Oryzias latipes: one gene and its partners. The protein of the gene in region 2 purifies or fractionates together with the protein of the main gene of each other region. This does not show direct contact. Links are inferred from orthologs where the notes say so. Each region holds a gene or a part of one and is shown on either strand. Other genes may lie near its edges.

Region 1 (4,285 bases), on a different chromosome or scaffold from region 2:
GATTAACAGCTGCATCTCTCATCTGCATTTTTCTGAGCGCCTGCTGCTCTTTAGCTTCACTATTGGGTCAAAAAGCAAGTTTTGACATTGCTCAAACTTGCTTTTATTAACATCAAATATAAGTGATGGAGCATTCTTGTGAATTTATCCCGACGTTAGCATGATAATCGCCACAAATTTTCATGTATAATAAAATCATCAATCATATTTTTTTTTCTAAGATTTCTTTTTAGTTGCTTCTGGGCCCATAACCCGTTGATCTTTGCAGCTTTAACACCAAAAAAAACAAAAAAAACAACTCAAAAGACAAAGAAACAATCTTCGTTAGCCTTTTGGCATATTTATGAGGGATCAAAAAGTTAAACAGCTCACAAGAGTTCCTCTCACTTAAGATTTCTGTTATGACATAACATCCATCTCTGACCTCTAAGTCTGCACTTCCCAGTGGTTAAAACCCCCAACATAGTCACAGTAGGTAATTATACAAAAATCCTAATTTCAACTTTAATTTAATTCAATTCAGGAAACAGCCATAAAGTTATATTTTTGGCAAAAAACAGAAACATGTCCTTCTATATAATCCAGGTAATCTGTTTCTAGTTCTAACTAGTCTGCTCCTTGAATGCCTCACAGGAAGCACCCATCGCCACTCAGTGAATTCCTACACACTTTTAGCCACTCCCATTGACGTCAAGACCCTGTGATTAAGAGATGAGACAGAAATTATAGCAAAACAATTTACGGAGGTCTGAAAGAACTAAATCAGAATAAACTGCCACAATGGCCAAGACTGAACACGTGTTTATTTCCAGTTTAAATGATGACCCCATTATCTAGATCTAAACAAAGCTCTAAAACCACCACACATTTAGCTGTTTAGGCAGACAGATGCAGTAGGATATGTACTTAGTTTTCAACTTTTAGCCACTCTTTGTGCTTGACCAGTGTAAAAAAATAAAGTTTTCTTTCTGAACTATAAGGGTTTTTTCATCACAAATTTTTACTACTATTCACTATGTTCATATTTTTCACCAGCAGCTGAATCATAATCATTATGAGCTTTTGTAGGTAAAAATTTTTTGTTATTAAGTGGTACATCAGGGAATTAAAGTTATGGGGGGGGGGAAGTCAGAAAATATGTCTTGCTGGGAGGAAACCTTTTTCTTTTTACTTTTTCCTGTTGAACATACATTTCTTTATTACATTTCTGCTTCATGCAAAATACTGTATACTAAATGTTCAAAGTTACATGGCTGTTTTAAGATGAGAAACTTACATTACAAAAGTTATAAAATAATATGTAAAATCTAAAAATTAATATGTATTATGTCTATAAAAAATGTCAACAAATATTTTGATTAATATTTTAAACCAAAATGTCAGATCAATTGTAATAGAGTAAAGAACACAATTATTTTATCATAAATATCCTACTTTGTCAATGTATTAAAATCCAGACATCATTCAATTTAGTAAAATGTGATTACCCTTCATTGCATCAGCTTTGATAAACTGGTAGTTCAGTTTACAAATGAGTTGTTTTTATCAATAATTTCTATTCACTGAATTGTACATTTTATTATAGAATGATTGTTAATTTTGTGTAAAAAAACTACAACTTTCAAATAATAAACATGGCTGCCTAACCTTAAAAGTAACGAAATTAACTGAAACTTTAAAGTTTCTCTGTTGCACGACACTTGTACAACCTTTATATCTTACATCATTATTACTATTGTTGCTATTATTATTATGGTTGAGTGTTACTCTAAATCTAATTATTTTTTGGAAAGCAATAATAATATAATACCAAAGGCATTTGGTGAAACAAATTTTTTCTAAAATGGGTTTTTAAAAAGCAACTTTCAGCAAAACAAAAGGCTAAAACAAGAGTTTTAAAATGAATCTTTAGTCTCAAATTCAAAACGACTAAAACTTAAGCAGACAAGGAGGAACTTCAGGCCACAAGTCACACGTGAGCAGCAGGTGTTCACTGACCAGTCAATACTATTAAACCACATAAATCCACTGATCTACTCAAATGTAACTAGATGTATAAAAACTGCAAATATTAATCGAAGTATTATTAATTATTAAGATTTAGAAAATCGACCACATCTGCTGGGATCTAAAGAAGTTTCCGAACAAAAAGCACATGATGATGGAGGGAAACGCAGAGAACGGTTTTAATGACGTAAATAAACTACATTTTAAAAATTCCAGCACATTAAATTATTTCAATATAAAGATTTAGTGTAAATAGACAGGTTGACGCCGACCTTTCAATATAACACCATTTCCGACAGCTAGCTATGTTAGCATTTTTGCTAACGACACTACTAGCAGCGATGACATTCGTATGAAGTCCAACAAACACACCAAACTGGCAGTAAGCTAGAAATTTTGGACCGTAGAGAGTAGTAAACGTAAGTGAATATTAAAGTTCTAACAAAAGAAAAACATGTTTAGAAATGTTTAAAACGAAAAGCAGACGAGTAGCGGCGTTAGCAAACTGTGACGTTACCTTTTCTTTTCGGGTACAAATCCTGTGTCCATGTCAGGACGAAAGGACTTGAGTTTAGCCTCTCTATCGGTGTGAAGCTGTATCCGGGCGCGTCAGAAAATGAACCACAATCCCTCAATGTTAATCCGTTGCCTCTCAAGTGGGTTGCATAAGAGTTCGAGGCAGATATCCTTTGTTGGATAAATCAAACTCTCTTTGGCTCAAATCGGGCTATTCGGTATACTTTCCGTAGGGTTAAGGAAAATGTGCCACGCAGGAGACGCGCTTCTTGCTAAGACAATGTTGCCTCGCGAAGGATCGTTGACTCCTCCTGCTGCCTCCCGGGAACGCGCAATCACGTGTCCTTATTTTCCACCAACGGGGGCGCGCGCTGCAAGCTAAAATCACCTGCTGCTTAAAATTGCACACATTTTTGCTGCCTGCATGGCGCGTGACTTATTAAAAGTAATGCAATTTTAGGGCAAATAGGTTAAGGTATGTATGTTCCAGGGAATAATTGATACAAGATTTTTAAATTGTATCTAAACATACAAAAAATGTGTAATTGTTTACATCTTATGTTTTTTATACAAATTCTACCTTTTAAGGCCTTTTGCAATTTTTTTTAATTTACCTTATTTATGCTATTTATGTGCTTTTATAGTGGAAACATCTTTTGTTTTGAGTAGTCTGTCACTATTCCTTGTCAGACACATGGATGGATCAACACAAACAATGCAAAGTTAACATTTGCCTTACAAAAATAAATGGAAAGTTACTATAAAGTATGTTTTCTATTTGTGTTGTAATCTGCTCCTAAAATTCAAAGACACAATTCTGTAAAAATGAAAATAAAAGGTATCATTCGACAGAGAAAAAAAAACTTTTCCTTGACTCATTTAGAGCTGCTGCAGAAACAGCAAGCTTGAGAGTACAAAGCAATAGGCCTGTGGACTGGAAATGCATCAACCTGAAGATTGCTATAGGGGAATTACTTGGAGGGTCTCTGTGTGGAGTCTTTTTCATTATCTCCTCCGATTCAAGGGATTATCAGTCAAAGATGCTGGACAGCAGAGTGAGATTGGGGACTCAATAAGGTTTTGCTGGAAGCTGCCGGAAGCTCTGGATGTAATTAAAGATGGGGTGGATTCAGATATAACCTACAGACAGCTGCCAAACATGACATATATACAGTATACACAAACCGTGGTTATGTTGCAGGTTATTACTTAGGAGGAAAATCCTTAATAAGGTAACTGACTTCTTGGGTTATTTTTTATCAGACACGGTTTGTGTTTTTACACATACCTGACATAACCCAATAAGTCAGTTAATCTTATAGACACAATGAACTTTATTGACTTAATAAGGGAAGTCTTAACAGGTCAGCAGACTTTGATGTAAATTTATATGCATTTTTTGTTGAAAAATGAATGAAAGCAAAATTTTTTCTTTTGTCTTGAATCAGCTTCTAGTCCACCACAGAACACGGGCTTGAAGTGATAAACACACGTAGAGCTCAGCGACTTCCACATTCAAACTCACAGGAAGGGTCCGTCTGTGCCGTTTTAACCTCAAGAGCTTAGCGGGGCTCATTTTTTTTGCCAAATCTCCAAATGCTTCCCCACGTAGCAGACAAGAAAATACTGTCACTCATGTTTTTTTTCCTGTTTCGATTAAAAGCGATTGTAGAGACGTTCTGTGGTTTCCTGTTTATCCTCTCTTGGTCTGCAATGAGAAAATGTGCGAGTCGAGGCAAATGTGGATTACACAAAGTAACAG
Region 2 (3,911 bases):
TTTAGCCCCGCCCCCCTTCATTTGGACAGACGCTTTGGTCCGTTCCAGGAAAACAACTTTTTTTGTTTTGAATAGATGGAAAGATCAGAAGCATGCCGCTCTGGTATGCTTCTGATCGGTTTCTTTTTACGGTTTCTGTAACCGCACTTACCCAGAATGCCATCTGACATATTTCCTCTATGAGACAATTTTAAAAAACATTTTGGGGAGGAAGAAGCTCCTAAAAACCATTTTCCTGCAAAAGCACATCATTCCAGCAAGGTTGATAAAATAAAAATTTAAAACACGAAAGCGAAATGGTTGCCGGTAAAAATCTTAGAGTGTCCTCCGACGGCAGAGCCACAGGTTCGAGTCCTCGGTCTGTCCGCCTCCCCGACCGCACACATGGAAGCCCTGATTGAGTCCTTTTGCTTTTTTGATTCAGATGGTTTGAAACTTAACAGAAATACATACATACATACAAAACCAAATGATAAAAAACATGAATAAAAGGGGAAAAAAAAGAAGAAAAAAAAACATCAGAAATTGTGGCTTTAATGATTCCAAAGTCCGCCGGTCTGTTCTTGATAAACTTCGATGACGTCCTCATCCTCCATGCCCAGCTATAAAAAAACAGAAGAAAACACAAACCTTAGTGACCACTAGTGCTTGGTTTTCGCTCTTGCGAGTGTCGCTTACCTCTTTTGGGGTTTGGTTATCTGCGATTCTCTGTCCCTCAAAAAGAAACCGTAGCGTGCTCGCCAGGACTCCCTGAAAGAAACGTCATCCTCTGCTGTTAGACCATTAGGAGATTTTTATTTTTCCTTCAATCAGCTCTCCTTGAACGCCGCCGCGAGGCGCTAGGAGCACGAGTAACGATTACATAGACGAGCTTTTAGGTGTAACCCTTATGCTATCTTAGATGACCCCACCCTTACATTGACGTGTTCTCCCTACCATGACAAAAGTGGAAAGATTTCATGTAATCCATGGACACCAGTGAAGATCACAAATCATTGAAGAAGAAAGGTTAAGCGCACTGTCTAGTGGGTCTAGATGACCCAACTCCTAATGTTAAAGGGCCTAGGATAGCACAAGGGTTAAAGAAAATTAAGCTTAAAATTACATTTAAAATTGGGTTATTTTTTTTTTATATTTAAAATCGTTGTGAATCAGGAGCAGACAAAATTAAACTTAGTTGGAAAAAGGTTGCAGGTATGATTCCAAAGCTACTACGGCAAGCCACAAGGCTCCCTTGCAGACAAATAGACTCGTGTAACTTTTTTTTATTTTCCTCGTCCGAGCATCCGGATCCAAACTGTGCAGCTGGATAGCTCCGATATTGCTCGCCATTTTTGTTGCACTGCTAATATTAGCTTGGGAGTCTTAGTAAGCTAGCGGGAGAGCGTGTCAAAAAAATAAATAAAAATCACTAGGAACTTTTTATTTTTTGCAATAGATCAAAAGATGATCAGAGTTATCTTTTTTTTAAATAATGGCGTGTTCTACCATAAGGAACTGCATTTGGATGGATCTGCGAAGGCTGTCATTGGAAAAGTGGCGATGCGTCTTCCTCTTCATACCTGTCTCTGGCTGTAAGACTCTTTCAGCTTCTTTAGATGTGTGGTCATTTTCACCTTGAAGTGGATTTCACTGCTGTCCTGTGGGCAGAAACGGACACACACAAAAAGGTGATGCAGCTCAAAAACAATAACAACTTCCAGCATTAAAACGAATACATCTGTAAATGATAAAGAATTGGCAGAATCATTGACCAAAAATAATAGCCTTCTATAAACAATAATAGAGACACCACCACGTGCCATAACTTTATTTGAAATGGAGTAGAATACGGTTTATTTCTAAATGCAGACAGTAGTGACAACAAAAGCAGAGACACAAAAACAACCTACCTGACCGATCACTTTTAGTTTGATGTACTCTCCATCTTTCTTGTCGCCTCCGTCCTGATTGGAAGGTTTCGTCTCCTGACAGAAACATCACAAAACATTGCTACATGATGCGACCGCTAGCACGCTTTCGAGGAAGGCCCGTCTGTTTACTCCGCGGGTTCCACGAACACAGAGAACATCCACCATAGACACGAGTGTGGGTTCGGTCCCGCCAGCACCAGTTCTGACCCCCCCCCCAAAAAAAAATCTCAAAAAACTACACAAAAGCTCACGTGGAGGGTAAAAAAAAATCGCTAAGTTCAGTCAGAGGCCTGCAGCTAGAACAGCTAACGGTTAGCATGTTGTTAGATAATCACGTACGAGGCAGCGTCCATAACAAACACATTATCGATTTCTTAGTAAAGTGTTGACAGAAAATCATTCGAACTCTTCAACGTTCTTTTTCTTACCGTGTCTGACATGTTTATCCTGACTGTGTGCGGGAGGGGGAGGGAATCCCTTCAAGGTGTAGCGTTAGCTTTTAGCGGTGGCTCTTGCTTTATGTTGTGAGGAATGCGACATCAAACGGAAGTGACGCAGGGCTGTTCAAAATAAAAGTCGCGTGAAGGAATTTGTTTTGTAGCGGATTGTCTCCATAAGAAAAGCGCGCGCGCGCACACACACACACACACTCATACAAAAACCTTGCCTTTTCCAGTATTATGAAGTCTTTACTCCTGTTCAATATTCAAATGCAATATATATGTTTAGATTAAATTTATATATTTTTAACATGGGCTTAAAAAATAGCATTTTATGATAATTTAATAAATAACTATATATATATAGAGAGAGAGAGAGAGAGAGAGAGAGAGAGAGAGAGAGAGAGAGAGAGAGAGAGAGAGAGAGAGAGAGAGAGAGGATGAAACAGTCGACAGCCGACAGTGTGCTCAGTGAATGTCTCAGGCAATGGAGAGCAGAGGATACAGTGCTGGAGGACAGATCCTCATGGGAAGACAAACCCCTGCATGGGACGTACCACCGGACCATAACTGAAGTGGCTGATATCAAGAAGTCCTACCAATGGCTAGAGAGGGCTGGCCTACAGGACAGCACTGATGCGCTCCTCCTGGCAGCTCAGGAACAAGCCCTGAGCACCAGAGCAATAGAGGCTCAGATCTACCACACCAGACAAGACCCAAGGTGTAGGCTGTGCAAATAAGCGCCTGAAACAATCCAGCACATAACTGCAGGGTGTAAGATGCTGGCAGGGAAAGCATACATGGAGCACCACAATCAAGCAGCTGGAATAATATACAGGAACATGTGTGCAGAATATGGACTGGAAACCCCAAGGTCAAAATGGGAAACACCTCCGAAGGTGGTAGAGAATGAGAGGGCAAAAATCCTGTGGGACTTCCAGATCCAGACTGATAGGATGGTAATGGCGAACCAACCAGACATTGTAGTGGTGGATAAAGAACAGAGGAAAGCCGTTGTGGTGGATGTGGCAGTGCCAAGCGATGGGAACATCAGGAAGAAGGAACATGAGAAACTGGAGAAATACCAGGGACTCAGAGAAGAACTGGAGAAAGCATGGAAAGTGAATGTGACAGTGGTGCCTGTGGTAATTGGAGCACTCGGGGCAGTAACCCCCAAGCTGGAGGAGTGGCTACAACAGATCCCTGGAAAGACCTCAGACCTCTCAGTCCAGAAAAGCGCAGTGCTAGGAACAGCTAAGATACTGCAGGACCCTCAAGCTCCCAGGCCTCTGGTAGAGGACCCGAGCTTGGAGGAGAAACCACCCGCGGAGGGTGAGAGAGGCGTTTTTTAAATGTATATATAGTTTTCGTGTTTGTTTTTATATTATTTATTTATTTTGTATTGGTGCAAAGCACGTTCGGTTGTGCTTTTGTAGGAAAAGAGCTATATAAATAAAGTTTGATTTGATGTAATCTTCAATATTCTAACTTTGAAGAATCATAGTTTATTAGAGACTTTTCACATGTTGATAATTAATATAATGTCAATTAAAATACT
Region 3 (4,396 bases), on a different chromosome or scaffold from region 2:
ATGTAAATGGACTCCACAGCACTAGCTGCAATGCATTGTAAAGACCCACTCCAATGAAAATGAAATGTGTTTTTAACGTGTTCTTGTGGCATTTTTCTGATGATGGAAGACATTTATTTAGTAAATTTAGCTTAAAATTGCATTTATGAGGAATGTCTTCATTGAAATTGTTGTGAATCAAGAGCAAACAAACAAAATGCCTTTTGAAAAACAATGTATTTGTGATGAAGAGAATAAGCTTGGTGGGCCACAAGCTCCCTGCTCTGAGGTCTTAGCGATGAAGATGGGGGAAAGGGGCGGGTTTTACTGTCCCAACAGCCTTGCCCACAACTCAGAATTTTTGATGAATGGCCAATCAGAATCGAGTATTCACTCGGACTATGGTATAATCATATTTAAACAAGGGCTTGTTGGGAATGCTTGTAAAATAACTCAAAAGATGATTGGAGGATGAGAATATGCAATCCTGTCACTTTCAAGCCCTACTGTCAGCCTGTTTTAGGCAAACTGGTGGTTGCATTAGCTTGTGGAGAGGAATACGGAATCTTAGAAATCTTAATGCGATTTTATCTCGGTACTATCAGATAAAGGATATCAGACTCTCCTGTTTGCACGGTCACTTGAAAAATCGCATAATTCAAGAAATCCAATATATTAAATGGATGTAAACGGGCTTAACAATGTAAAAGTTTAGCTTCGAGAGTTTGCTTGAGAACGCACATACACACACAAAAAAACCCCACTTATTTCAGATTTAACACTTCTACGGCTAAATTTATACAGCTTATTTACACTGCATATAAGACTAGTTCAGCGTCTGCCTCACATCTAAATATAGGCACTGAAAGTCCAGGACAGCGTCTGCAGCAGCTCGCTCTGTCGGCCTGATTGGGGACAGCAGGGAAGCAAACCTATCCGTGAAACGGAGGTGATACTGTGTCACTGTCAACATTTCTCCTTCCGAAGCAGCTGGGACGAAGCAGCTCTTACCTGACTTTTGGGCAACGCCAAATAATCAATCTTTAGTGTCATAACGGCTCCCAACACAGTCATTGTTATGATAGATCATGCTCATGTGATGGAAAGGGGAAGTGGGACATTTAAAAAAAAAAAAACAATAAAAGCAAAAGGCTTAGAAAAATCCCACATGTTCTCAACTATGTTCTGTCATACTAGCCAACTGTGTTGATATTTCAGGGGTTATATTTACTCTTGCGGCATCTCCGACTTGGTCTATGTACGTGTAACAATGTAATGACATTTCACTAATGACGAAATTGACATTACTTGGAAAAAGAAAAGGAAAAACTGGGCTAAAGGTTATAGTTTCATGAGATTTATGCGATTTTCTCTTAGCTTATGTTTTTGGTCGACTTAAAGAAAGAAATAAAGAGGAGAAAAGCTGCAACTCCACAGCAAAATACGGAGAAACAGAAGGGAGGGAGGGCAACAGGAAAAAAAACTGCTTTGTTTGAGAACAGTGGCGCTCTGTCTTGTGGCTGTCTAGATCTGGCAGCAGCAAGGACAGCCTTGAGGGAATCAAACTCTAAGGTGACGACAGGAGACGGAGAGAATGGGATCGCAGTTTGTTGACGCATGTCATCATTAGCAGCTTTGCAGCTCCTAAGTTGAAGGAAGAGTCTGAGGTGTTTCGTTTTGCTCACATGTCACCCAGAGAGAAGTCATGTTGTTGCATCAAAAGTGAGGATGCCGCTGCTCATCCATCTTTAGCACATATCTGACGAATCCACGAATCCGTCACTCCAAGTCATCATCTTTCCTAAAAATTACACTTTAGGCTTGCCACGAATAGGAAACAATGGTTTGTTCAATCTAATTACACAATTTTATATATCAGATTCATAATTGACTCCTATTCTTAGAGTGTTCCATCCTAACAGCTGATCTAATAAAATAACCTATATTGCATGCTGGCTCTGCAGAAGTTCCTGAAAAAAGGCGGAAAGGCAGATTTGGGCCACTTAAAGCTGACTCAGCAACTTGTACACAGTTCGGATAGTCCCCAAAATTACTCTTGCAACATTAGACATCAGGGTCATCGGGTTGGACAACTATTATGACAACTGGTCACCTTTTACACCCCTCCAGCAGCCTCTGAATGTGCTTTTATTTTGAAGGGGAAATCTCATGAAGCATCGATATTTTACTAAAATAATAATGAAATAAATGGGTTTGACTAACATTGTTTGAGGTCCATTTGGAGTCATTCTTGACAGAAATATAAAAAATAAAGTAGCATCAATTGTGTTAGGAGTCCCTGGCGTGAGCAGCATCTCACTCAACTCTGACCTGTCTGCTCCTCCACGAGCCAATATTTGAAGTTGATGTTGACAAGACAACACCCAAGTGTTGCATAACTTTGAATGAGAGGCAGCCGAATCCCACTCCACAGCTGGGCAACACATCCCCCCCCCCCGCCGGGACAGCCTCGCGCGCGCTCGGCCTCCGCGCGACGCTCAGTAGACAGCTCGGAGGCTAATTATCACCCAAACCTGAAAACCGCTTCAGAGTGGGAAATAACTGTCCACGGGAAATGGACTGACCTGTTTTTCAAAGGTTGACTCTTCAGCTCATAGTACGTTTTAGGCTCGTCCTGAAGGTCCTCGCCGACCTCAAAGTCAGGAACTATTCCGGATTCGGACTGCATACTTGCAGACGTCAACTTTTCCAGAACGTAAAAAAAACCCACAAACAAGTAAAACAAAACAAAACTGCGGGGCGATGTTGGAGCCGCTGCGCTTCTTCGAGGACCAACCAACTGTCAACGCAAGCCGCCTCTGCCCGGGACACGAACCTCTGTAGTCTATTCCAGCTGTGATAACAGCCCCGCTAACGCGCTGTGGCATACGACCTAACTACAAGTCCCACAATGCATCAAAAGGCTGTCAATGTCGCGTTAGCTTTGATTGGCTGCGAGGTGCGACGGGGTTTCAGACGCTTTACCTGCTCACTGAGCAGGTGATTTCTGTCCCATAAACACCTTTAGAGACCCACTCCGATCGAAATCGCGTTTTTTGTGTTTTTAACATGTTTTTCAAGCATTTATCTGATGATGGAGGACATATGTAAAGAAAATTAGGCTTAAAGTGTATCAAGTATTTCTCTATCCAAATAGTTGTGAATCAAAAGAAATAGAAAATACAATAGGCTGGCTATAATTTTCTTTAGACTAAAATATTAATCTTCTTCTTTCTCATTCGGCTTTTCCCATCAGGGGTCGCCACAGCGAATCATCCTTTTCCACCTCACTCTATCATGGACATCTTCTACCCTAACATTAGCCAACTTCATGTCCTCTGTTAAGACATCCATATATCTCCTCTTTGGCCGTCCTCTTGCCCTCCTGCCAGGCAGCTCCATCTCCAACATCCTTCTACCAATATATCCACTATCCCTCCTCTGAATATGTCCAAACCATCTCAGTCTGGCTTCTCTGACTTTGTCGCTAACACAGGCAACATGAGCCGTCTAATTATAAATAATAATAATAATAATAATAATAATTATAAATAATTATAAATATTAATATTCTGCAATAATGTTTACATCGTATGCTAAATATTGATTGAGATATATATCCCAGTGATGCATTATATTGGCTTTTTACAGCCTGTTGAATGTGCCTGTTGAAAATTAAACTGTCAAAGTCTGTTTGACTCTGAAAATGAACTTTTAATTTGTAGAGGTCAGTTGTTACAATTAAGACGTAGAGTGTGTAGAAATAAAAATGACGTGATAAAAAGTATCAACTATTTTGGTCAAGACCTTTTGTTTAAAAAAATCACAGAAAAAAAATTATATATATATATATATATATATATATATATATATATATATATATATATATATATATATATATATATATATATATATATATATATATATATATATATATATATATTATGTCTTTTTTTTAAAGATATATTTTCATTAAAACAATTAATCATCAGTTTATTTATGCAATCACCCAGGCAGAGATTTGAAAACATAATCAACTCTTTTTCCTTTTAAAATCCTTTATTATTAGTAGCAGTAGTATTAGTATTTTGTTATCGTCCCTTGGCCTTTTAAGACAAATACATATCACTTTTTTTTAACTCCAGTTCTTGCCAGCTGTTTTTCAACTGCAGGCTTTGGCTCCTATTTACCACTAAGGGGCAGTAGAGTTTTAAAGTCAAAGTCAACGTCAACCAGCTGAGACAAAAGTGGATTATTTGCATTCTCCTTTTCCTGCTGAACCAGTTTGAGTTTTTTTTTTTTTTTGACATGTCAAATGAAAGTTTGCTTCTGCTGAGAGGTGAAGCCTTGAAAACTAAGAAACAGAGTCTTGGGTGGCATGATTGTAAAAATTCATGACCAGGTTGAAGAATTTAAA

The links.
Region 1: the proteins of sumo1 (region 2) and hif1a purify together in Homo sapiens (co-immunoprecipitation; 3 studies listed by BioGRID and IntAct, with this or other methods). This does not show direct contact. The link is inferred for Oryzias latipes from reciprocal best matches to the Homo sapiens genes SUMO1 and HIF1A.
Region 3: the proteins of sumo1 (region 2) and microphthalmia-associated transcription factor purify together in Homo sapiens (affinity purification with western blotting; 3 studies listed by BioGRID and IntAct, with this or other methods). This does not show direct contact. The link is inferred for Oryzias latipes from reciprocal best matches to the Homo sapiens genes SUMO1 and MITF.

What each region holds. Positions count from the first base shown.
Region 1 is NC_019880.2:11,968,807-11,973,091, forward strand, and holds the start of hif1a (hypoxia-inducible factor 1-alpha), read right to left. Parts: upstream 2,841-4,285; 5' UTR 2,557-2,840; coding exon 2,525-2,556; intron 1-2,524.
Region 2 is NC_019860.2:9,899,740-9,903,650, forward strand, and holds sumo1 (small ubiquitin-related modifier 1), read right to left. Parts: upstream 2,375-3,911; 5' UTR 2,354-2,374; coding exon 2,342-2,353; intron 1,968-2,341; coding exon 1,893-1,967; intron 1,641-1,892; coding exon 1,563-1,640; intron 751-1,562; coding exon 679-750; intron 603-678; coding exon 534-602; 3' UTR 513-533; downstream 1-512. UniProt on the Homo sapiens protein: Ubiquitin-like protein that can be covalently attached to proteins as a monomer or a lysine-linked polymer.
Region 3 is NC_019865.2:20,304,008-20,308,403, forward strand, and holds the start of microphthalmia-associated transcription factor, read right to left. Parts: upstream 2,822-4,396; 5' UTR 2,669-2,821; coding exon 2,565-2,668; intron 1-2,564. UniProt on the Homo sapiens protein: Transcription factor that acts as a master regulator of melanocyte survival and differentiation as well as melanosome biogenesis.